6 linked regions of the Ovis aries genome follow. Each later gene encodes a partner of the first gene's protein in a complex. Links are inferred from orthologs where the notes say so. Each region holds a gene or a part of one and is shown in the gene's direction. Other genes may lie near its edges. The genes, in order: NEDD8, UBA3, NAE1, KHNYN, UBE2M and PRKN.

The links.
Region 2: the proteins of NEDD8 (region 1) and UBA3 are in contact, whole or in part, in a crystal structure (PDB 3DBR), measured with the Homo sapiens proteins. The link is inferred for Ovis aries from reciprocal best matches to the Homo sapiens genes NEDD8 and UBA3. Residues at the interface, in NP_006147.1 of Homo sapiens: Lys6, Thr7, Leu8, Thr9, Gly10, Gln39, Gln40, Arg42, Ile44, Ser46, Gly47, Lys48, Gln49, His68, Val70, Leu71, Leu73, Arg74, Gly75, Gly76; in NP_003959.3 of Homo sapiens: Gly78, Gly79, Leu80, Gly165, Leu166, Asp167, Ser168, Ile169, Arg172, Asp200, Gly202, Thr203, Glu204, Lys207, Gly208, Asn209, Ile221, Cys223, Thr224, Glu226, Leu227, Tyr228, Pro229, Pro230, Ile310, Asn317, Tyr342, Val344, Asn346, Asp349.
Region 3: the proteins of NEDD8 (region 1) and NAE1 are in contact, whole or in part, in a crystal structure (PDB 3DBL), measured with the Homo sapiens proteins. The link is inferred for Ovis aries from reciprocal best matches to the Homo sapiens genes NEDD8 and NAE1. Residues at the interface, in NP_006147.1 of Homo sapiens: Leu8, Thr9, Glu28, Arg29, Glu31, Glu32, Lys33, Glu34, Gly35, Ile36, Pro37, Gln40; in NP_003896.1 of Homo sapiens: Asp177, Asn178, Ala179, Leu180, Tyr237, Lys240, Arg244, Asn273, Thr274.
Region 4: the proteins of NEDD8 (region 1) and KHNYN are in contact, whole or in part, in an NMR structure (PDB 2N7K), measured with the Homo sapiens proteins. The link is inferred for Ovis aries from reciprocal best matches to the Homo sapiens genes NEDD8 and KHNYN. Residues at the interface, in NP_006147.1 of Homo sapiens: Thr9, Lys11, Glu12, Ile13, Glu14, Glu32, Lys33, Glu34, Gly35, Arg74; in NP_001277186.1 of Homo sapiens: Gln649, Asp650, His651, Lys652, Asp654, Phe655, Gln658, Arg659.
Region 5: the proteins of NEDD8 (region 1) and UBE2M are in contact, whole or in part, in a crystal structure (PDB 2NVU), measured with the Homo sapiens proteins. The link is inferred for Ovis aries from reciprocal best matches to the Homo sapiens genes NEDD8 and UBE2M. Residues at the interface, in NP_006147.1 of Homo sapiens: Leu8, Thr9, Gly10, Lys11, Glu34; in NP_003960.1 of Homo sapiens: Asn42, Val122, Ser127, Tyr130, Gly131, Gln133, Tyr134.
Region 6: the proteins of NEDD8 (region 1) and PRKN are in contact, whole or in part, in a crystal structure (PDB 8WZO), measured with the Homo sapiens proteins. The link is inferred for Ovis aries from reciprocal best matches to the Homo sapiens genes NEDD8 and PRKN. Residues at the interface, in NP_006147.1 of Homo sapiens: Lys6, Thr7, Leu8, Thr9, Lys11, Glu18, Glu34, Ile36, Arg42, Ile44, Tyr45, Ser46, Gly47, Lys48, Gln49, Tyr59, Lys60, Ile61, Leu62, Gly63, Gly64, Ser65, Val66, His68, Val70, Leu71, Ala72; in NP_004553.2 of Homo sapiens: Lys151, Arg170, Leu187, Thr222, Ser223, Val224, His279, Gln282, Leu283, Gly284, Tyr285, Glu300, Leu301, His302, Arg305, Tyr312, Asn313, Tyr315, Gln316, Gln317, Gly319, Ala320, Glu321, Cys323, Val324, Met327, Leu331, Cys337, Gly338, Ala339.

Annotation. Positions count from the first base shown.
Region 1 is NC_056060.1:20,759,894-20,762,816, forward strand, and holds the end of NEDD8 (NEDD8), read left to right. Parts: intron 1-1,188; coding exon 1,189-1,236; intron 1,237-1,404; coding exon 1,405-1,487; intron 1,488-2,053; coding exon 2,054-2,150; 3' UTR 2,151-2,423; downstream 2,424-2,923. UniProt on the Homo sapiens protein: Ubiquitin-like protein which plays an important role in cell cycle control and embryogenesis via its conjugation to a limited number of cellular proteins, such as cullins or p53/TP53.
Region 2 is NC_056072.1:32,550,179-32,554,223, forward strand, and holds the start of UBA3 (NEDD8-activating enzyme E1 catalytic subunit), read left to right. Parts: upstream 1-1,245; 5' UTR 1,246-1,255; coding exon 1,256-1,275; intron 1,276-1,460; coding exon 1,461-1,502; intron 1,503-1,747; exon of another isoform or gene 1,748-2,263; intron 2,264-3,317; coding exon 3,318-3,438; intron 3,439-4,045. UniProt on the Homo sapiens protein: Catalytic subunit of the dimeric UBA3-NAE1 E1 enzyme. E1 activates NEDD8 by first adenylating its C-terminal glycine residue with ATP, thereafter linking this residue to the side chain of the catalytic cysteine, yielding a NEDD8-UBA3 thioester and free AMP.
Region 3 is NC_056067.1:34,109,976-34,114,254, reverse strand, and holds the start of NAE1 (NEDD8-activating enzyme E1 regulatory subunit), read left to right. Parts: upstream 1-1,479; 5' UTR 1,480-1,515; coding exon 1,516-1,568; intron 1,569-4,279. UniProt on the Homo sapiens protein: Regulatory subunit of the dimeric UBA3-NAE1 E1 enzyme. E1 activates NEDD8 by first adenylating its C-terminal glycine residue with ATP, thereafter linking this residue to the side chain of the catalytic cysteine, yielding a NEDD8-UBA3 thioester and free AMP.
Region 4 is NC_056060.1:20,552,923-20,556,057, reverse strand, and holds part of KHNYN (protein KHNYN), read left to right. Parts: coding exon 1-49; intron 50-206; coding exon 207-337; intron 338-423; coding exon 424-520; intron 521-3,135.
Region 5 is NC_056067.1:66,428,870-66,433,166, reverse strand, and holds the start of UBE2M (NEDD8-conjugating enzyme Ubc12), read left to right. Parts: upstream 1-1,497; 5' UTR 1,498-2,028; coding exon 2,029-2,137; intron 2,138-3,264; coding exon 3,265-3,359; intron 3,360-3,476; coding exon 3,477-3,515; intron 3,516-3,627; coding exon 3,628-3,731; intron 3,732-3,982; coding exon of another isoform or gene 3,983-4,037; coding exon 4,038-4,101; intron 4,102-4,195; coding exon 4,196-4,297.
Region 6 is NC_056061.1:84,706,712-84,710,018, reverse strand, and holds the end of PRKN (E3 ubiquitin-protein ligase parkin), read left to right. Parts: intron 1-182; coding exon 183-295; 3' UTR 296-2,807; downstream 2,808-3,307. UniProt on the Homo sapiens protein: Functions within a multiprotein E3 ubiquitin ligase complex, catalyzing the covalent attachment of ubiquitin moieties onto substrate proteins. Substrates include SYT11 and VDAC1.

The DNA of each region.
Region 1 (2,923 bases):
GTATTTAGTGAGTGAAGTCGCTCAGTCGTGTCTGACTCTCTGTGACCCCAAGGACTGTGGCCTACCAGGGTCCTCCGTCCATGGGATTTTCCGGGCAAGAATACTGGAGTGGGTTGCCATTTCCTTCTCCAGGAGATCTTCCTGACCCAGGGATTGAACCTGGGTCTCCCGCATTGTAGGCAGACGCTTTACCGTCTGAGCCAACAGTGTATTTAGCCTTTCCATTAATATTTATCGACTGCTTATATGTCAAACACCATACTTTGTGCTTAGACTGGGAAGATTGAACAGTCTCTGTCCTTTAGGAAGTTGGAGTGTAAATTGGAGAGTTTGACACTTAAAACAACTAGCTGTAATATCTATTAAAGTGCATTGGTAAAAAAAAAAAATTAAAAAAAAAATAAAGTGCATTGGTGACAAGTCATCAATCTTAAAGGGTCCCTTGAAGGTTTGAGAAAGATTGGAAGAGGGGATGGCAACAAGGAAAACAGTAGAAGCAAAGAAAATGTCCCTAAATTAGACTGTCCATTTGTAGTCTAGATTACTGTAGACTGATGCAGGTGGCGCTTTAAGAGCAAGAATGGATGGGAGATAAGATTGGATGAAGCACAGCATTTGTAAGTGTATGGTTGTGTTTTGGGTATCAGCAACCCTTAGCCTATGGAATAAGTCAAGAAGACCAGAGCTGCAATTTTAGGATTCAGGTGAAAATCTGGAGAAGATACAGGAGAATAGAATGTTGAGTTCTAGTATTGCTTAAAAAGCTGGTCAGAGGTGATCTCTAGTGTCCTTGAGAATGCTTTGAATTATCTGAGTGTTAATTTCTAGCATTAGTACATAAAACAAGGTCCTTTTCAAAGGAATACTCTCCTTAGGTCAACTCTCATTGCTGTCTTATCCAAAGGAGTTATAGTATTCTCATGGATTCTAATTGGGTGGGGAATGAGATGACCTGTGAGATTAAGAGGTCAAATGGTTTACAGACTCTTCCCCTGTCAAAGTTGTTCACAGCCTAAAAATGTCTGAAATTGGGTCTGAGCAAATACTCCTGACACTTCAAATCAACTTTGCTGAGAATGTGCATTTCTCAGGAGGGAGTCAATCCCCCAAGGCTAGGCCAGGATGTTTTACCTAGGAGACAAATTGTATACTGAACTATAAGACTTATGAAAGCCTTGCCTATTTCAGACGCTGACCGGAAAGGAGATTGAGATTGACATTGAACCCACGGACAAGGTAGTGTATGCCCAGTACCTCTCCAAGCCTATCTCCCTACATGTGCCTTTGCCTGGGTATGCTGATGAAATTAGTCCTTTTGCTCTCATGCGATCTGCATAGCTCTTGTTCTTTCCACTTCCATGGTCCCTCCCCCTGAGCAGCCCCTGACTACTTGTACCCCTAAAGGTGGAACGAATTAAGGAGCGTGTGGAGGAGAAAGAGGGGATTCCACCACAGCAGCAGCGGCTCATCTACAGTGGTAAACAGATGTAAGTATGGAATGGAAATGAAGGTATGGTGATGGGATTTTTTTTTTTGGCTATGCTAGGTCTTTGCGGCGCTGGCTTTGCTCTAGTTGAAGCGCGTGGGGTTCTCAATGCCGTGACTTCTCTTGTTGCAGAGCACCAGCTGCAGGGCGTGTGGGCTTCAGTAGTCTCAGCTCCCGGGATCTAGGGCACAGGCTCAACAGCTGTGGTACATGGGTTTAGCTGCTTCTCAGCATGTGGGATCTTTCCAGATCAGGGATTGAACCTCTGTCTCCTGCACTGGCAGGTTGATTCTCTGCCACTGAGCCACCAGGGAAGTCTGAAAATATCTCTAATTTCTCTTGTTAACAGGTTACCTATATTGCTAATTCCTCTGTGGGCTTTTGTCTGTGTTCAAAATTGAAAGAAATATCAAGTTACAGTTGGGGGTTAGTAAAAACATAAAAGATGTAATTTATTTTCTCATATGCACTCATAGATCTCCAGAGATCCATGAAACCCAGGTCAAGAGTGCCACTCTAAAGGGTGTTGCTAACAACTTGTTTTCCTGTTTTTGCCTCTTCCTGTAGGAATGATGAGAAGACGGCAGCTGACTACAAGATACTAGGTGGCTCAGTCCTCCACCTGGTGTTGGCTCTGAGAGGAGGGGGTGGTCTTAGGCAGTGATGGACTCCGCTCCGCTTGACCTCCCTGCCCTGTCACTCATAATGAGGCATCGTATATCCTCTCCCTCTGTGGGACACCAGAACCACTCCCCGCTCCCCTGGCTGCCCAGTCTTGTGTGTCTGCTGGTGGGAGACTGTGAGGACCCCAGGAGGCAGTGTTCCTGGCCCAGAGGGCCCTTGCTGGCTACTGGGTTTTAGTTTGCAGTCCTGTGTGCTTCGCTCTCTTATGGCTGTGTCCCTGGTTCTCAATAAAATATTTCTTGACCTCCTGGAATCTTTCTTCTATTGCACAAATGTGACTGAAATCAAAGTGGACCCAGGGAATTCCCCAGTGGTTCAGTGGTTAGGATTCCGTGCTTTCACTGCTAAGGGCTAGAGTTCAGGCCCTGGTTGGGGAACTAAGATCCCACAGAACCAGTCGGATCTTAGTTTTGGGTGTGGTAAAAAAAAACCCAGAACGGACCCGGTGCACACCCAGTTACACCAGGCTGAAGGACTGTGACAATGGACAGGAATGCACCCTTGGAGGAATTCTCAAACTGTAAGTGTATATACTCAGGAGTGTGCCAGAGCCAACTGTTACTTGTGCCAGAGTTAATCGCTGGCATCTTTCCCAGCCCCATATTAACTGACTTCATGTTGGTAGCTTGAAATTGGCCACGGTCAGAGTATTTACAGAAATTGACAATACAAATCAGTCCTTCCCCCCAAACTGGTTGTTAAATATCTTTCAGCATACTATTGATGTAGGTGTTAGAAACCAGGAGAGTGAGT
Region 2 (4,045 bases), on another chromosome or scaffold:
TGTGATGCTCACTGCCATTAATGGAAGGTCTCCTAAAAGCATTGCTGGAGACCCAGCACACATGAGCCTGTTTTGAGAAAGAAGGGTTTAACCTTAGTAGTTTCCACCTGTAAAGGAGTTTGGGGGAAAAAAAAAAAGTTTTTGGGTTGATGTTGAGACATGTGACGTGGAGAGGGGCTGGCGTCTGTCTCCTGCTGTGGGACTGCGGGCTGTGAACTCTGTCCCTCCATTGACTGTCTGGCACTGACTTTCAGCTCAATGAATGTTATTGAATTAAATTTGATTGGGGGATAATAAAGAACAGAGAGGAAATTAAATATAATTTATTAGCAGCTACATTAACTGAGTGCTAACCAGGCTTTATGCTTTCCATTTCAGCAATTCTCAAGCTTTATTTTGCACAGAATCATCCTGGGTTTAGTGAAGGTTGCAGGTAGGGCCTGAAAATTTGCATTTGTAACAAGTTCCCTAATGATGCTGATGTGGCTGATCAGGGACTATATTTTGAAAACACAATAGATTTCATTTAATTTCAGTCTTACAAGGTGAACATTATCATCCTCAGTTTACAAATGAAGACACAGTAGTGCCCAAAGTCTCACAGTTAATAGGTGGAGAGTTAAGGATTTAAATAAACTGTCCTTTCTGACTCACAATCTCATTCGTGTCCTGCTCCAAGAAAGGATATATGTATGTATGTGTATGTATATATGTGTGTGTGTGTTTTACTTGTTTTGAACATGATTGTTTCTCTTTATCCAGCCATTCAGACACATAGGAACTCAGGTGCGTGTGTGTGCAGACACATAGACACACACACACCCCTATGTATCTACCTATATGTCTGCAGCTCTATCTCTGACTCTGGAAAATAGTGCAAAGTTCTATCACCGTTTATTTTTAGGTGATGAGATGCTTTGCATATATACATAAATCATATAAACAAATAACATTTGTTATTTGTATAAATTGTAATTTATAGAATTTATATATATTCATAAATAAGCTACAGATGAGGTTGTATTTTCACACAAGATTATACATTGGGTAAGACTTCTCTAAGTGTATTTAATCATGACTTTAATTACAAAGAAGCCTTTAAACCCACGGGAGCCTCTCACAACCAGCCCCAGCAGCCCCGCCTCCTCCCCGCAGTCCCCGCCCCTCTTCACCGGCCCCTCATGGCCGGTCCCGCCCCGCCCCGCCCCTTCGCTCCTCCCACCGTGGGGGTGCATGGGAAGAGGCGGAGAACAATATGGCGGATGGCGAGGAGCCGTAAGTACCCGGGCTCTGCAGGCGCCCCGGGCCGGGCTGGGTTGTGAGAGAGCGCGGCGGTGGGCGGTCGCCGCCTCCACCCGGGGTCCTCCCACCCTCCGCCCCGTCCCCTCGCCCCCCATCCCCTCGCGGCGCCCAATGTGTAGCGTGATGCTGACCCTTCTTTTATTCTCTCTTTCTTTTAGGGAGAAGAAAAGAAGGAGAATAGAGGAGCTGCTGGCTGAGAAGTTAGTGCTGCCGGGAGGCCGGGGCCCTCTCCGGGGGCCCCCGCCTCCCTTCACCCCAGGCCTAGGGGACCAGCCGCAGCGGGCCCGGGGGGCTGGGAGGGGGGGCACCCGGAGCGCAGGCCGCGCGGCCTCATCCCCCGACCCCCACCCGCAGCCCCAGGGGCCCGGCGGGCCCTCCCGGTCTCTGTCTCGGGCGGGCGCTGGGCCCGGGTACCGCGCTCAGGTTCCGCGCCGGCCCGCCGGGGTGCCTGACCGAAAGGTCTTGCGGAAGGACCCTTGCGCCCCTCTTCCTCCATCCCAGATTGTCAGAGCCGAGACTTTGTCAGAAGGGAGTCTTACCAAAACACATGAAACGGACGATGGGCCTTTTTTTGGCCTTTCGGAAACACGGAGACAATAGTATTAATTGCAAACTTTTGATGAGAACTTTAAGTCTGGTATCGTACTAAGCACTTCAGTCATTTTTTGCAAAATCATTGGCTCTGAAAGGAGAGTGTTGCCTCCAGAGAGCTTATGTTCTCCATGTATTACACACCTGATTTCATATCAGATGCCTAGTTTTGTGCTAGTGAGACAGGTTTAAACGAAGTGTGTTACACCCCGGGCAGCATCACCTATTTTTTCTTCCTCCTTACTTGGGACGGGAAGAAAGTGCTCTTACAGTGGGCGTGGTGAGTTAGTCATTTCTGTGGCAGTCCTCAGTAGCAGGGCCTTAGGTATCTCAGAAAGTTGAATTTCAATCGCGAGAGGACTTGGAACAAGTTAAGTTTCACATTTCTTCCCACCTTTCATTTCATTCCACTTTTGCTTAAAATGACAGCTACGATTTGAATGTTTACTATATACCACGTATTGTACTAAGGCCTCTATGTGGATTATCTCTATCATTCTGATGTTAAGTAGCTACAGACAAGCTACAGATCAGGTTTATGGCTGTCTAGTGATCTGCTGAAGGTCACAATGCTATTAATTGTGGAACCAAATCCAGCTGTGACGTCAAACCCTGTAATCTTTATTGCTAGGCAATACTTGGTCCGTTTTGTAAAAATTGGATATTACTAAATATGTTTGAAATTGTGGGATTGTAGGAAATTTGAAAATTAAAAATAGTTACAAGGAAACATGAGTCTTGCAAAGAATAGAAAACATGTTTTGTTAGTGGAGTCCCTCCTTACTGGATTGTATGTTCTAAAAGGTTTGTAGATGGTATTGCCTACCTGTGATGTAATTATAATCTAAAACTTTGATTGTGTTTAGTGGCAATAGAAGCCACCTTATAGTCCTAAGAGATTCTTTTTTGAAAATTAGGACCCCAGAGAAAAATATGATGTTTCTCTCATCAGAAATAAGTTATACTTTTCAAACTTGGAAATGACACATGAGTTATGTTAGATGTCAAGCATTAGGATTCTGGAAGTGGAGGGATTTTTTTGGTTTTTGTTTTTTCTTGTAGCTTATATTTTCTGTTCCAAGGCTGTTTATAGAATAGATTGGGCAGTTTGCAGTGTTCAGTAAGTTCCAAATGTTTAGAAAGCCCATTTCTCGCTGATAGATCAGTATCCCAAGTTTGATTTTAGGTTATTTTAGGAACCCAGAAACTTACTGATTATTTCCTCAATCTGTTCTTAACTTTATATAAACTATATAATAGCAAGAAAAGACAATAAAAGCATAAGCGTAACTACATTGAATTATTACCCTTTGTATTTGAGCAGATCTGGTGTGGTTACCTTTTCATTTGGGAAAACCATATTAGTTGTAGGTGTGGCTTTTTCATACTGATCTTTGCAGCTGAATTTACTGTGTTCTGTGCAGAATGGCTGTTGATGGTGGGTGTGGGGACACTGGAGACTGGGAAGGTCGCTGGAACCATGTAAAGAAGTTCCTCGAGCGATCTGGACCCTTCACACACCCTGATTTCGAACCGAGCACTGAAGTGAGAATTGTTTATTTTTAAATAACTCCTCTAATAGTTTTATGTTGCAAATATAATAAGATGCTTCCTTTTTAATTTACTCTTATAATAAAAATACTAATAGAGTTGTGTAAGTTATCTTGAAATAGTAAATAGAATATTTGCAACTGATTTTATTTGAATATTTGAGTTATTTTCACATTTTTCAAATGTAATATGTTAATTTTCAAGAGTAAAATGACTTCATAACCTCACTTAAAATTATGTTATACTTCATTTAAAATTCCAGTTTAAAATTACTTTTGAGACACACCGTTTTAATCCCTGCTATGAAAAATTTAACTTTCATAGAGATATAGATGTGCTTGCTTAAATTTTGAAGTTTATTTGAAGTGAGTATCTTTACTTAGAAATTAATATAATTAGTTTTGGAATTGAATATAATTAATTTATAAGTAATTACTTAGAATTCAATATAATTAATTGCCTGTTAAAAAGTATAAAAAGTATGTGACTGCAGTATCATAGAGGAATAGAATTTGAAACTAGTAGTGTCTGACTTAAAGCAAATGTTCAGCTAGAAGCAACTTTTTTTTATTATGGGATGGGAAATATTCCTTTACAGTAA
Region 3 (4,279 bases), on another chromosome or scaffold:
ACTGTCAAACCATGCCCCTTACTCAGTTCCCATCCCAGGGTGGGTTGGGGTGGAGATCTGTGCTCACTTTCACCTTATTTGAGGTAATCATTAACCTGAAGATGCCTGTAGTGTCTGTGAAATAGGAAGGAATCCTCATGTCCCCCTAGTCCCCTCTCTCCCCACCTTTCTCATGGAGTAGCCCCATTCCTTGGCAGCCATCCCCATAGGGATGGTTCTTTTTAGGAAGTGCAGAGCTTTAAATTCCTCCTTGATTTTATGTTCTCAGTCTTCACAACCTGGCTCCTACCACCTCTGAAACTTTCTCTGACCACTCCTTGTTGTTGCTCAGTTGCTAAGTCATGTCCAACTCTTTTGCAACTCCGTGGTCTGTAGCCCCGCCAAGCTCCTCTGTCCATGGGGTTTCCCAGGCAAGGATGCTGGAATGGGTTGCCATTTCCTTCTCCAGGGGATCTTCTTGACCCAGGGGTCGAACCCGGACCTCCTGCATTGGCTGGTGGATTCTTCACCACTGAACCACCTGGGTGACCACTCCCTACCCTTCACCTAACTCTGCTAAGTAGCTTCAGTCGCGTCCGACTCTGTGCAACCCCAGAGACGGCAGCCCACCAGGCTCCCCCATCCCTAGGATTCTCCAGGCAAGAACACTGGAGTGGGTTGCCATTTCCCTCTCCATTTCCTTCACCTAACTCTACATCACACCAAACTTCCTTTAGTGCCTCAGCCTGTCATGCCTTATCTGCCTCCCGGGGATGACATCTGCTGTTCTTTCTGCTTAAAACACTCTATCTTGCCCACTTGGTGTGAACATTCCTGGAAGAGGGGAAGTAAGTAGAGTTCCTCTGCTCACCTCTCAGGTCCTCAACTTCCCTCTACCTATAGGAGGGTCATATTGTCTAAGGAGTACTCCTTCACTGTCTCTCTCTTCTTGGGACAGTGAACTCCCCAAGAACCGAGTCCCGGACTTATTCCTCTTTGCATCTGCAGCCAGGAGCAGCTAGCTTTGTGGTTGGAAACAGACGCTCACTGTGGGCTTCTTGCCTGAGAGGATGGAAGAAATGGGTGAATAATAATGCACATAATAATGAAAGTTCTTCCGACAGGATTTTTTTTGTGAGTCCTGTGTGTTCAAAATCTCACTTAAGGTTAACAGAACAGGATTTGAGAGGTAAAGAGCGTAAACCAGTGAGTGGTGAAAATCGAAATCTGCCTGATTCCAAAGCCCAAGTTCCCCACAACTACCGAGCGTACAAAGTCACGGATTGGTCGACCAGAAGGACTGCTGCACGGGTAAGGCGCGACTACCTTACCGGTGGTCACCAGACCCGTTTCTGAGGTTTGGCCGCAGACTCCCAGGTGTACAGGTGACGCGTGCGCAGTGCAGTGGAGGCGCCCCCTGCCGGCCGCGCGCGGGAGACGGCGCGGCAAAGGGGCGCTCAGTGCGCCTGCGCGCTCGAGGAGGCGGTGGCAGTTTTCGGTAGTGGCCCGGCGGTTCTCCGTGGGGCGGGCGCGGCCATGGCGCAGCCGGGGAAGCTGCTAAAGGAGCAGAAGTACGACCGGCAGCTGAGGTGAGCCAGGGCTCACCGATTCGGGCGGGCCAGCGGGTTCCTCTGCGTCCGGGCCGGGCCTAAGCGAGCGGGCGGCGCGGTTGGGCCTCTCTCGGGCCTCCCGCTGGGCTGGGCCGGGCCGTGCGTCCAGTGCCCAGGGTTCCGGCCTGGGGCCCCGGTGCTTCTCGAGGGCCGGCACTCGCCTTCCCCGAGGGGCGCGCCCGCCCGCTCGCCACGCGGTGTGCAGGTCGAGGTGCACCGCCCCCAGCGTCCGCCGGGTCACCGCGGCGGCTGCCGGTTCCGCCTCGCTGTGCTCCTGGTTTTGCAGAGTGAGGGGCTCGGGACTACCCCATCTCGGCCGCCGAGGGCAGCACCGAATGTTAGATATTGTTGTAAACAGGCGCTGTCCAGTAGAAATATAATGCCAGTCTCATATGAACCACATACGTAGTTATATATATGTGTATATATAACACATGTATATATGTGTATATGTAACATAATATTTATATTTGTAGTCACATTAAAAAGGACAAAGAAACAGGTGAAAATAATTTTAATAATTCAGTTTATTTTGTTTAACCCAGTATGTGCAAAATATTACTATTTCAACGCATAATCAGTATAAAAAGTTATTAGAGATATTTTACAATTTTTTCATTCTGTCCTCAGAATCCAACATTTTACACTTTTGGCGCCTCTCAAATTGGACTAGCCTTATTTTTAGTGCCCAGGAGCCACATGTGGCTAATGGACTAATGGATATCTACTTAATGGACTGTAGGTCTAAGTCATCCGGCTAGTCCTTAACTTCTTCCTCTCCCATGCCTTGTCTCCTAACACTCCCCATTCCTTATTTATTGAGCATTTTCTATGTGGTTAAAGGGCTTCCATGGTGTCTCAGCCGTAAAACATTCACCTGCAATGCAGGAGACCATCTACAATGCAGGAGACGTGGGTTTCATCCCTGCATTGGGAAGATCCCCTGGAGAAGGAAATGACAACCCACTCCAGTATTCTTGCCTGGGAAATCCCATGGACAGAGGATCCTGGCGGGCTGTTGTCTCTGGGGTCACAAAAGAGTCGGACATGACTTACAGACTAAACCACCACCAAAGGCAGCAGAAATAGCGCAACTATATGGCCTCTCTCCTTTCTGAAGACCCACAAGCCAGAAGTTACAGTATGTCCCTAAGGACCGGAACTCGCTTGCACCTCTGGCTTAGTGCTGTTGTTAGGGGCTTTATGCACTCAATTGTGAGAGCAGTCTTGAAGGCAGATATTCTGTCTCCTTTATAGATGGAAAAACTGACTCTTTAAAGTTTGATAACCTGCCCTGAGTATCCCATGTGTTTGAACCAGTATGTAAACTCAAGCCTTCTGGCTTTTCCAGAGCTGATAAGGTCTGCTCCCTGGGGAAAGGGAAAGGAAAGTTTCTGGGGAAAGAAGCAAGATGGTAGAGACTTTGTAACCAACTTGTGTTCTCTTGTAAATTCTTGGAGATCCTTGTGTTTTGAAGCAGAGGTAACCATACATGACAGAGCTGATAAAATATTTTAGATTACTAAGTACCTGTGACAAAAGAGAGTTTTTGCTAAATCGAGTCCATTTAAGGAACAAACAGTGAAAACTGTTTATTGGTTTTGAAGTGTCAGAGGGAAGCAGTTACAAGCAAGATTGTGCCACCAGCTAGCAGTCAGCAGGCCCTGCCTTCCTTAGCCAGCAAGAGAATGGAGAGGATTGATTTTTGTTTGGGCCATTTCTTGAAACGTATTACCTAGAGATGCACCAATAATCTCTTAGGCTCTTTCTCCAGCTACCCAAGTATCCATCAACCAGATATGCCAAGTGTTTTCTGTGTGCCCTACTTTCGTAGGAAAAAAACAGAGGTTTCCAGTCTGTCTGGTTCTTCTAGACTCATCCTCCATGCATTTGACAACTATTCAATGATTATTTATCCTGGACAAGGCACTGTATCAAGCACTGGGGCTTCAGTGGTGAACGTAGGGAGTGGTCTGTGCCCTTATGGAACTTAGAGTGGAATGGAGAGATGGATGTTCAGCAAATAAAACACCAGATGAGGCAGTTACAGTTGTGATTTACTCTGGAGGACGTACAGGCTACATCATAGGAGAGGATATGCTTTAGACAACGGACAGGAAGCAGCTTAAAGTCTCTGTCCTCCAGGTTATGACATTTTTCTAATGATTTGGGCTTCCCCTGTGTTAAGAAAAGACACATTAGGCTTTCTGGGCAAAGGTTGCCATGTTAGCCCAGCTGTCATGATGCCTGTTTGATCACATATCTTGCCCTGTTAATGATATGCTGGTGTGACAAGATGTAACATATTTCAGGTTATAACACATTTCTAATCCTTATTACATCTTTCTGTTTGTTAATGTATGCATTTATGAGTCATGCTGTTAGAATTGGGAATAACATTTTAAAGCACTCCTGTAGAAGTCAGTGTGAAGGCTTTTCAGATGGTACTTCAGTTTTCTTGGTAAAGCTTTTCTCACTCTTGAACGTGTCATGGTGGATCAGTATTATGTCAAGATCTTAAATTACACTGGATCCCTGTAATTTAAGGAGAAATAAAATAGAGGATGCATGTCTGCTTAGTTGCTTCAGTTGTGTCCGACTCTTTGCAACCCTGTGGACTGTAACCCTCCAGGCTCCTCTGTCCATGGCATTCTCCAGGCAAGAATACTGGAGTGGGTTGCCATGTACTC
Region 4 (3,135 bases), about 210 kb from region 1:
AGCCAGACCTCCGCCATATCGTCATCGATGGCAGCAACGTGGCCATGGTGTGAGTACCTGGTGGGGCTGAGGGTCCCAGGGAGGGGATGAGGTAGAGGTGGGCAGTTGTGTTCACCCTGGGGACGTGTGCCAAGCGGAGGGCAATGCAGCCAGGCTGCCAGGTCTCCACTCGAGGGCCCTTGAGTGCTGACCCCTTCCCACTGCAGGCACGGCCTCCAGCACTACTTCTCCAGCCGGGGCATTGCCATTGCCGTGCAGTACTTCTGGGACCGAGGCCACCGCGACATAACTGTCTTTGTGCCTCAGTGGCGTTTCAGTAAGGACTCCAAGGTCAGAGGTGAGTTGGACCTGGTCTCTTGTGTCTGGGGATGGGCCCTGAGTTCACCTCAGGGATAACCCCATTGTGCGTCTCTGTTTCTCTAGAGGGTCACTTCCTGCACAAGCTGTATTCCCTCAGCCTGCTCTCCCTCACACCCTCCCGGGTCTTAGATGGCAAGAGGATCTCCTCCTATGATGACAGGTACTTGCTTCTCCCTTGTCCACAGACTTGACATTCAGGGAGCCTGGTGGGAGACTGAGGGGGAGACAGAAGCTCTGGCCCCTTCACACTAAGACTTGAGTCATGGGAAAAGGGCCGCTTCTCCGTGTGCCCCTATGTCTGGGGAGGTGAAGCTGCCCTGCAGACAGGATGAGATGGAGGGTGAACAACTCTGTTTCATCCTTCACTTTTTTACTGATCAAACTAAAGGATGCTTCGTATTTATATTAATAGTGCCTTACCATCTAGAAAACACTGTTTTAATGGAAACATGGGAAAGCTGGTGGTACGAATAGCTAGCTGACAAATGCCTCTTACAACCTAGATGTCCAAACACATAGAGAAATTCTCCAACCTTCTGGGAAAACCAGAGTAAATGATCCAAATAATGATAAATAAAGCATGGATTCCATGCATAATACGGCTGTACAAAACATGGTATTTAAAAAAAGATAAGTGAAAGATCAATGGTCTTAGAATTTGAAGGTCTGAATTTGAGCCTCAAGTTGCATAGTTATTGTAGATTCTCTTAGTGGATTAACCTCTTTGTCTTAAGTTCCTCTTCCATTCATTCATCCTCCTTGTGAATGTCAAAAGAAGCTAAGGTATGTGCTTGCCTCACTCAAGGTGCTCTGCCGGAAGACAGTGATATTCGTTAGTTTTTCAGGGACTCAATCAAGTGTGGCAGGGCGTCTTATCTCCATTGTACAGAAATGGAGACAGACAGAGGGTTGGAGTAGTTAGTTCTCTTGGCAAAGGCTATGACGTGGCAAAGGAAAAACGAGAACTTAAAGCTGCTAGATGGTTTAATTGAAGAACACAAGACACATTTCCTCCCTGGTGTACAGAGTGTGGGAGACAGGTGGATCTTATTATTCTTATTTTTCAATAGGCTTTTTTCCCTCCCTTTGGCTGCATTGGATCTTTGTTGTGTCAGGTGGGGTCTTAGTTCCCCCAACCAGGGACTGAACCCTCAATCCCTGCATTAGATGGTGTATTCTTAACCACCGGACCGCCAGGGACATCCCATGGGTGGATTTTAAAAGCTAACTAACCCATTTGAAAAAATTACAGTGATAAGTTCTTTATTCTCCAGGATTCTGAATTTTAAATTAAAAAAGAGTTCCCAAGCTGTACTGATTATATATTTTGTTTTTTCAAATACTTAGCTTTTACTCCCTAACAGGTAAATGGTATTCTACAAAAAGACAATTCATGTTCTCCCAGTGCAGTTCTGTTTTAGGCCTAGATTTCACAGGTTATCCGAAATACAGAACCTTCTTTACATGCCATATTGACACAATTAAAACTGAAGGTTGTCACTTGTAATAAATTTTGAAGGCACGTGTCTGCACAGTTGTGTAGGTCCTGACAGGCAGAGGCACAATATAAATTTTGTATTTTGCCTAGTTACAGTGGCATGTAGCACAGACCTACTGAATACTGGAGAACAACATACGATCTCATGTGGTAATAGTACAGTTATCCTTAATTTGAAAATACCTTTTGTGTATTATATGGTACCCTATATATTTATAATGTCATCTCTTTGTTTCCCAGATAGAAGCTCAGAAGCAGACATCTGTCATACTGAATGCTGGTTAATGGTCCCCTATATACCACACTAGGGCTTCCCTGGTGGTCAGACAGTAAAGAACCACCTGAAGTGCAGGAGACCCGAGTTCCATTCCTGGGTCAGGAAGATCCCCTGGAGAAGAGAATGGCTACCCACTCTAGTATTCTTGATGGGAGAATCCCATTGACAGAGGAGTGTGGCGGGCTACAGTCCATGGGGTCACAAAGAGTTGGACACGACTAAATGACCAAGGCTATACCACACTGTTTTTCAGATACTGACTGCCTGTGGGGTCCTAGGTGTCTGGGCTGCCGAAGGAGGCAGGAATCAGGGAAGACTGCATTCATGACTTCAAAAAGCCCAAAGAAACTATAAATCAAACACTACAGAACTGAGAGGAAAGGGATCTCCCTTCTGGCTGGGGTCTTGTGGGAAAGGAAGGATTTGAGAGTTTTTGTTGATTGACAAGGATATCGGATGCACTGGATCTCTTGGTTTCTAAACCTGTTAAAAGACTTATCTCATGAGTTCTACCCCACTCCTGTGGAATCAGAATTATTAAAATGGGGCCCAGGCATCTTTTTTTTTTTTGACGTTCCCCTTGTGATCCTATCAGTGAGGTCTGGTTTCCTTCCAGATGGAGGGAATAAAGGGAACAGTTTGAGAAACATGAAAGTCGGACAGTGCAGGGCATGTTTGAAGAACAAGGTGAAATCTGATCGTTGGTTTTTGGCAGGAGCTATGAGTGCATTAGGGAGGATGGGGAGAGATAAGGCAGTAAGAGTGGCTTGGAGCTAGTTGCTAGGCCTTAGCTGCCAAGCCTGGGAAGGGCAAGTTTGGAAGACTTGTGTAGGGGAAGAGCATGTTCTATCAGGGGAGGAGAGGCTGGAGGGTGGTAAATGGCTGGGGGCAGGAGACCGCCTTATCAGGAGGCTATGCAGTGGTACCTCAGTTGCATTGTCCAAGTAGTGCAGGTGGTAATGGCAGGACTGGAAATGAAGGAAGCGGAGTGGAAGGCCTC
Region 5 (4,297 bases), on another chromosome or scaffold:
CCGAGATGGGACCTTAGCTGAAGGGTCTCATTAACTGGCCTGAGGATGGACACATGAACCAGGCTGGCCAATAAAAACCATCCCTGAGACTTTGGTTGGAAACTGCAGGATGGTCATCAACCCTCACGTGCCGTACAAAAATAATCACCAAGAGTAGAGCGGATGAGAAGAACAAAAAGGAAAACTGAGTTTGAAAGAGGCCTCCGCGTCCCAGGAACAGTCATGCCTGAAGCCTGAGAACACTAGGATGGTTGCGATCTCATCCGCCCCAAACCTGAGGTTTTCTGCAGCTTCCAATCGCTTAGCCTCACCCCAGCACCTCTCCAGCACACAGCTCTCAAGGAAATCAACGAAGCCGGCAGTCTGGGGCGAGGACGACCAGAGGGTTGAAGGGGGGCTTCTGGAATGGAGGAAAGAGAATGCAAGCGGGAGAAAAAGGGAACGGCTGCAACAGCCACGACTAGGATATGAGACCACGGAGCCCAAGGACGCCGAGGGTACCCGAGAGGAGGCTGGGGTCGGCAGGGACGCCAAATCACGGCCCGAAAAGGTGGAGGTTACTTTCTGGGGTGAGGATCGGGCCGGGGTAGCCAAGAGGAGGCCATGGCCCACCACTAGCGCGGGCCCAACTGGGCCGCCGGACTACTCCCACTGTGCTCCAGAAGACGGCGGCACGCCGCCTCAGCGACGGGGTGGGTCGTGCGGCAGGAGCCTCATTCGGTCGCGGGAAGGCTCAGGGGCAGAGCCCCGGCCGCCCCCCGGGCCCGGCCCCCCGCCCCGACCAGCCCTCGTGGCGCCGCTCACCGCCTGACGGAGTCCTCGGTGACAGCCTGAAGTCGCAGAACCGCTCCGCGCCGCCTGCTCGCGCCTTCCAACGCACGCTGAGCTGTGATTGGAGGGGAGGCTGGCTCCGCCCACCTCGCGGACGGAGATGGCGGAAGGCCGGGGGTCGCCTGCGGGCAAACTCTAGACCCGTGCGGAGGGCTGCCCCCAAGCGTGTGAGCCCGTGTAAACCTCCACAGTGTTATACTATCCTCTGACACGTTTTATTTGCTAGTTTACCTCAACCAAACTCTGCAGGCGGGTTCTCTGAGCCTGAGATGGGACCCCGAAGGTTCTGAGTCATGCACTCTAGGCCACGCTCCTGGCCTTGCTCAGGCTCTGACTCTAACCCTGCCTCCGTCTGTGGCCCCTGGGGTCAAGCCCCTTGTTTGGCCCGTCTATGCCGCCGTCCGCACAACTGCGAGTGGGCATGGCGGCCCGCAAGTGAGGCGGCCTGCATCTGCCCCACTTAAATATGGCGGCGACACCGCCATCCCCCTCCTCCCTGGACTCGCGGGCGTCCCCGGAAGTGACCGGCCCGGCCCGCACGAACGGAAATACCCGAACCAAGCCGAAGGAGCCCGATCCCCAAGTCCCAGCGCGGAGCAACGTGGGGCGGTGGCAGCGGCTGCGCAAGCGCACAGCGCAGGCCGGGCGGGAAGAGCCGAAGCGGGCAGGCGACGGAAATAGCCGAAGCGGTGGGGCGCCCGAGGCCGTTGCGGACCTCCGCGCCGAAGCCGCTGCTGCCACGGAAGCCGGCCCTCCTGTCTAGTGCACGGCCATCGCAGCCCCCGCCTCCCCCTTCCGCCTCGAGCCGCAGAGCCCTCGCGAAGAGAGCGAGTGACCAGGCCCAGGGACACGGCTTGAGGACCCCGCGTCCGCAGCCGAGCCTGAGGACGCCGGAGCGGACGGCCGGGAGGAGGGAGCGGCGGGTGGGGGCGGGGCCGAGTAAGCCCGAGAACAGCCGAGCGGGCCCGAACGCCGCCGAGCGGGCCCGAGGCGCCGGGCCAGGCCAGAGCCGACTACGGGAGCCGACGCGGGCCGCGCGGTGGGCGCGGAGCAGCGCGGCAGGCCCGGCGGGCGGCGGCAGCAGCCGGAGAGGCCGCGGCGGCGGGTCCGAGTGGCGGAGGCGGCGCGGGCGGCGGCGGGGGGCCGGGTGGCCGGGGTCCCGGGCCCCGCAGCGGCGGCAGCGGCGGCGGCGGCAGGATGATCAAGCTGTTCTCGCTGAAGCAGCAGAAGAAGGAGGAGGAGTCGGCGGGCGGCACCAAGGGCAGCAGCAAGAAGGCGTCGGCGGCGCAGCTGCGGATCCAGAAGGGTAAGGGGAGTCGGGGGATGGGAGTGGAGGTCGGAGGTCAGAGCCTGGCTCCGGGTGATACGGGAGTCAGGTGTGGAGTAATGCGGCTGCCAGGGGTCAAAGGTGTCAGAAACGGGGAGGCCGCGGATGTGGGGATCGGAGACCAGGGCCTGGGGGCCGAGGGGCCGGGGATGGGGTAATATAATCACCAAAGTGGTCGGAGGTAGGGGGGCCGAGCAGGGGGCACTGAGCGTGTTCGGAAAGCTAGGAGTCTGATACTAGGGACCGAGAATCTGAGGGTGGCAGCGGAAGAGGGAGACCGGGAACTCGAGAGTCGGGGGGTCAGATGGGAACCTGGGCGACAGGAAGAGGAGATAGGGACAGTGGGGCCGAGGATTGAGGATCGGGGTGGGAGATTTAGTGTATTAACGCTAGAGTCACTGGGAATCAGAGTCAGACCTGGTGAAGTGGGTTCTGGGGCCTGGGTGTCGTGGGTCTGGGTGAGTCACATGTCAGTTTGGGGTGACAGGAGGAGGGAGGGATGCTGGGTACCAGGGATTATAGAGATAGGAGTAGGGTTGGGTTTAGACCATCCTGCTAGAGATGCTGGAACTCTTATGCTCAGAATAGTATAGGGTAGGAGGCTTGGGAACTCACAGATCTGGAGGTCAGATGGGATCCTGAGTTTAGGACGACAAGCAGAGAGGAGTGTATGGACAGTGGGGGCCAGGGACTGGGGGGGGTGGTGATTTAGGGTGAGGAAGGGAAATAAGATCCTTGCATCTGCGCAGACAAGTAGAGACTCCTCTAGAAAGCGGAGGTCGCGGTCAGGATGCTGGATTTGGGGTGGGACACACAGGAGTGGGAACATGTAGGAGCTGGGCTGGGGGACTTACGACTGGATTCAGAAGAGTTAGAGCTTGCCCCCCAGGAGTTCCAGCATATCTGCAGTGTTCCATAGATACGGAAGAGCCTGCCTGGAGACGCGGAGCAGAAGGAGCAGGGAGAGGGAGGAGGGGGTGGCCCACTGCCCAGGACAGAACTGGGGTCCTGGGTAGAGGTTATGGAGGCTCTGCTGGCACCTGCTCTGAGCACCCCCTATCTCCCCCTTTCCTGGCCTGTTTCCCTTCTCTGCTGTGAAAACCCAGACATAAACGAGCTGAATCTGCCCAAGACGTGTGACATCAGTTTCTCAGATCCAGACGACCTCCTCAACTTCAAGCTGGTTATCTGTCCTGATGAGGTGAGGGCACGCTTAACTGGATTCTCAGGCACGGCAGGTGACACCACCTCAAGTTGGCTGGTTCACCTGCCGGGCCTTGCAGAGTGGGGTTCTGACTCCTCTCCTCTTCCTTCACAGGGCTTCTACAAGAGCGGGAAGTTTGTGTTCAGTTTTAAGGTGAGTCTCAGGTGTGCAGGGGTGGCTCCCTGGGCTGAGGAAGCAACAGCTGAGGCCCCAGCCAGGCACTGCTGTGCACCTATCCACTTGCCCTCTCTTCTCCTGGAGCCAGGTGGGCCAGGGTTACCCGCATGACCCCCCCAAGGTGAAGTGTGAGACGATGGTTTATCACCCCAACATTGACCTCGAGGGCAACGTCTGCCTCAACATCCTCAGGTGAGGGCACTGGCCCTCCACTACGCTGCCCAGCCCTGCCTGCCAGGCCCCCTTCATGACCTTGCACTATACCAGTCTCTTTCCCTTCCCTTCCCCTTGTGGTCTGTGTGTCCCTCTGTCTCTTCAGCTCTGCGTTTTCTTCCTCATGGCTTGACCTTGGCTTTCTGGCCTGTGCTTCTCTGCACCCTCCCGCTAGCATTTCCCGATCGTGCTGTCCCATGCCCTGGGCCTGACCTGTCTGGTCCCAGCAGGGCCTGTGGTGGCTGCCCGCTCACCAGCCCCTATCATGATGCTCTCTGCCCACAGAGAGGACTGGAAGCCAGTCCTTACGATAAACTCCATAATTTATGGCTTGCAGTATCTCTTCTTGGTGAGTAGGGGTGGGGGTGGGAGGGCAGCTGGGGGAGGTTGGCCCTCTGACTTCTGGGCTTGTTGACCTCCTGCCCCTCCCATACCGGCCACAGGAGCCCAACCCTGAAGACCCACTGAACAAGGAAGCCGCCGAGGTCCTGCAGAACAACCGGAGGCTGTTTGAGCAGAATGTGCAGCGCTCCATGCGGGGTGGT
Region 6 (3,307 bases), on another chromosome or scaffold:
ACCCGTCTGCTCCAGATTCTTTTCCCATATGGGTTATTCACTCCGTTCTTCATGAAGGTCAGATGTTCAGTCTCTGCCCCTTCCGTTGCTTGCGGTGATTGCACGGGAAGTCATCTGTGGGCACGCGGGCGGGTGTGGGAGTGTCGCCCAGGCGCTCACCCGTGTCCCCTCTCTGCCCGCAGGAGGATGCATGCATATGAAGTGCCCGCAGCCCCAGTGCCAGCTCCAGTGGTGCTGGAACTGCGGCTGCGAGTGGAACCGCGCCTGCATGGGGGACCACTGGTTCGACGTGTAGCTGGAACAGCGGCCGCGCAGGCGCACTCAGCCGCCATCCTGCTGGGAAGTACACGGCGCCCTACTATCTTCTGCTTTTTCCTCTCTCTACACACACACATACACACACACACACACACACACACACACACACACACACACACACACACACACACACACACACGTTTCCAGTTCTTTCCAAAACCACCAAAGCAAGGTTATCGGAGAAGCTCCCAGGATCCCCGTCTCCGGGCCCCTGAGAAACAGCGAAGCCAGTGATGAGTCCCGCCGGAAGTATTCTCAAGCCCCGAAAATGCACTCACAGTCAGAGCACAGAGGACGGTGCCGTTCCCCGTCTGTGTGCGCTGTCATTCTTGATTGAATTCGAGTCAGACTGGATAAGTACATAAAGACGGATTTCTCAATTACCTGCCTTTTACCTTCAGCAAATACTGGGAAGAAGCCTTTGGTGGGGTGGGGAATGATTTTGAGGGACTATTACCTGTGGTTCTTTGTAAGACTGCAGTGGATTCTGAGAACTTCATGCCCGGCTTAAATAGCAACGGACTTATTTAAATCTTCAGGAAGCATGTGTTCCCAAAGAGCCACAGGCAGTAGTCAAAACTATGTGTTTATCCCCAAGAATTCTATATTTATATCTTGCATTAATGAAACATCAACTCTGCATGAATCAGCTTGTCAACTAAGTGAGAAATTATGAAAGTTAATCTGAACATTGAATGCTCAAAATGGATGTATTTGAACATTCACTCCATTTAACTCTCTGCAGCTTTAGAAGTTGTTTTTCTGAAAACATTACAAAATCTAGAATTTGACTTTAAGCATTCATTTTGAGCGTGAAAAATAAGCTCATACGTCTGGCTTCACTGTACATGTGACAAGGGGCCTCTAAAGGAGACACTGTTAGAAATCAGTTCAGTGATGATTCTCAGTGTTAATAAACACGCAGTTTATTAAAGCAGAATCTCTAAGGAAGGAACCTTTCCAGCCCGTCAGAATGAAACCAGGCAGATCGGAAGGGTCATGCTCTTTCTATCTGCCTGGACAACTTTAATTACACTGTTTCATATCAGAGTATATTTTCTTCTGGATCTCTTTCAGATCTGATTCAAATTGCAGTTGTCAAAGCAATAAGACGCACAGGGAAACTGCAACAACAAAAGTGCCTAGAAAGGATAAGGGGGTCACTGCTGACAAATTGTGATGTGGAATCAAAATACAACATAAGTGTAATTAACCAGGTTCAGGGCAACCCGCACGGGGGCTCTGCCCACCCAGTGGGTTACTCAGAGTTCTTTTCTCTACGATTGTAAACTCACAGGAGAGTTTTTCCTCACGTTAGCACAGCTTGAATTGGATTGCTGATCAAGTTTTCATCTTTGTTTTATGCGTCATTCGCAGTACATCAAAGAGAGATGCATTTTCGCTGAATGCCACCAGCCTCCCTCTCCAGGGCACAGTGTGCGGGTGGAACAGTCTCACCGCTGCCTTTTGTTCTCATGGTCCACCTTCTCGGGAAGGTGGTAACAGTCCCTGAGGGTGTGATGACTCTCCTGTGAGCGCAGGGCTTCTTTCGGATGGATTTGGAGACCGGTAGCCAGCCTCATCTTTGTAGAGAGAGCACCAGAAATCCTTGCTGGAGGGAGAGGGCGGGGAAACCTCAGCAAGCTCCCGCAGATGTCCTGTGCCCCCTGTCCCTAAGCGTCCATCCAGGGACTGCCCACCCTGCTCCCTCCCGCGGAGGTCCTGAACCTGGAACGTGATTGGTGGGAGACAGCCCCGTCAGTGGGAAAGGAGTCACGCAGCTTCACTCTGTTGATCCAGCCTCCCCATCATGGCCCCAAGGCTGCTGGCTCCTGTCAGGGTCCCTATGGGTAGCACAGAGATGATGCAGAGCTGGTGTCTCGAGTGAGAAAAAGGCAGGGCACCGGGCTTGAGCCACCCTTGCGGTTGGCTGGCATCAGGGCTCAGCCTAGAACCCACTGGGGGCCCTCCTGCGCGTTACCAGTGGTCCCAGCGGCTCCTTACTCTGACCCCGCAGGACAGTTAGGTGGCTCCCTCTGTCGTGGGGAGCTCCCAGCATTTCATACCCTCCATGGGTCTGAGGTTTAATGATGCTGATGTTATTGCCTGCTCCCCGATTTGCATGGTTTGTTGGGGGTGCCAAGCTGAGCAAGGTTTGCTCCCGCTTGTTCTGGCAGTAGAAGCTCTAGGTCTCTGCTCTTTTCCTGATAGTAGCCTTCTTTTTTTTCTTTTTTTCTTTTTCAAAATAGCATAAATTGATTCTTAAAACAAGTTAAAGGATAAACAGCCACTGTGAATGAGGCTGAATCACAAACCACTATAAATGAACATGTCTGAGCACTGAACGGTGTCACAAAAATCTGAATCTAGCAAAAGAAAAGAAAGTTTTCGCAGAAGAGTCTTTATTTTTTTTCTAAGTTGTGTAAGGAAATACTCGGCAACAATTGTCTAAGGTCATACTCAAATTGTCAATAAAAGAATCAAAAGAGCGTCTGAGTCCATCTTTGAGGGTACGTTGTCCATAAACGCTGAAGGCAGGGGAGGGTGGCCCAGGGTGTGTCTCTCGTGGCCGGAAAGGGTTGCCGAGTGCGCCCGTGGCCATCCTGGTCTCCACCCCGAGCTCCTGACTCGTTCTGGTGGTTTGTCTTCTTTCTAAAGATTGACTTGTTTAGTTCCCTTTGTGCAGTGCGCGTCATTGTTGCTGCGCTCTGGCTTTCTCCAGCTGCGGCGAGGGAGGGCTGCTCTTCCTCGCAGTGGGCAGGCTTCTGGTTTTGTGGCTTTTGTGGCGAAGGGCTTCAGTCGCTGCGGCACATGTGTTCAGCAGCTGCAGTTCCCGAGCTCCAGAGCACGGGCTCAGGGCTCGCGGCACACACATTTAGTTGCTCCGTGGCATGTGGGGTCTTCCCAGACCGGGGATCCAACCCGTGTCTCTTGCATTGCTAGGTGGATTCTTAAACCAAAGTGGACCACCAGGGAAGATTCCTGGTTG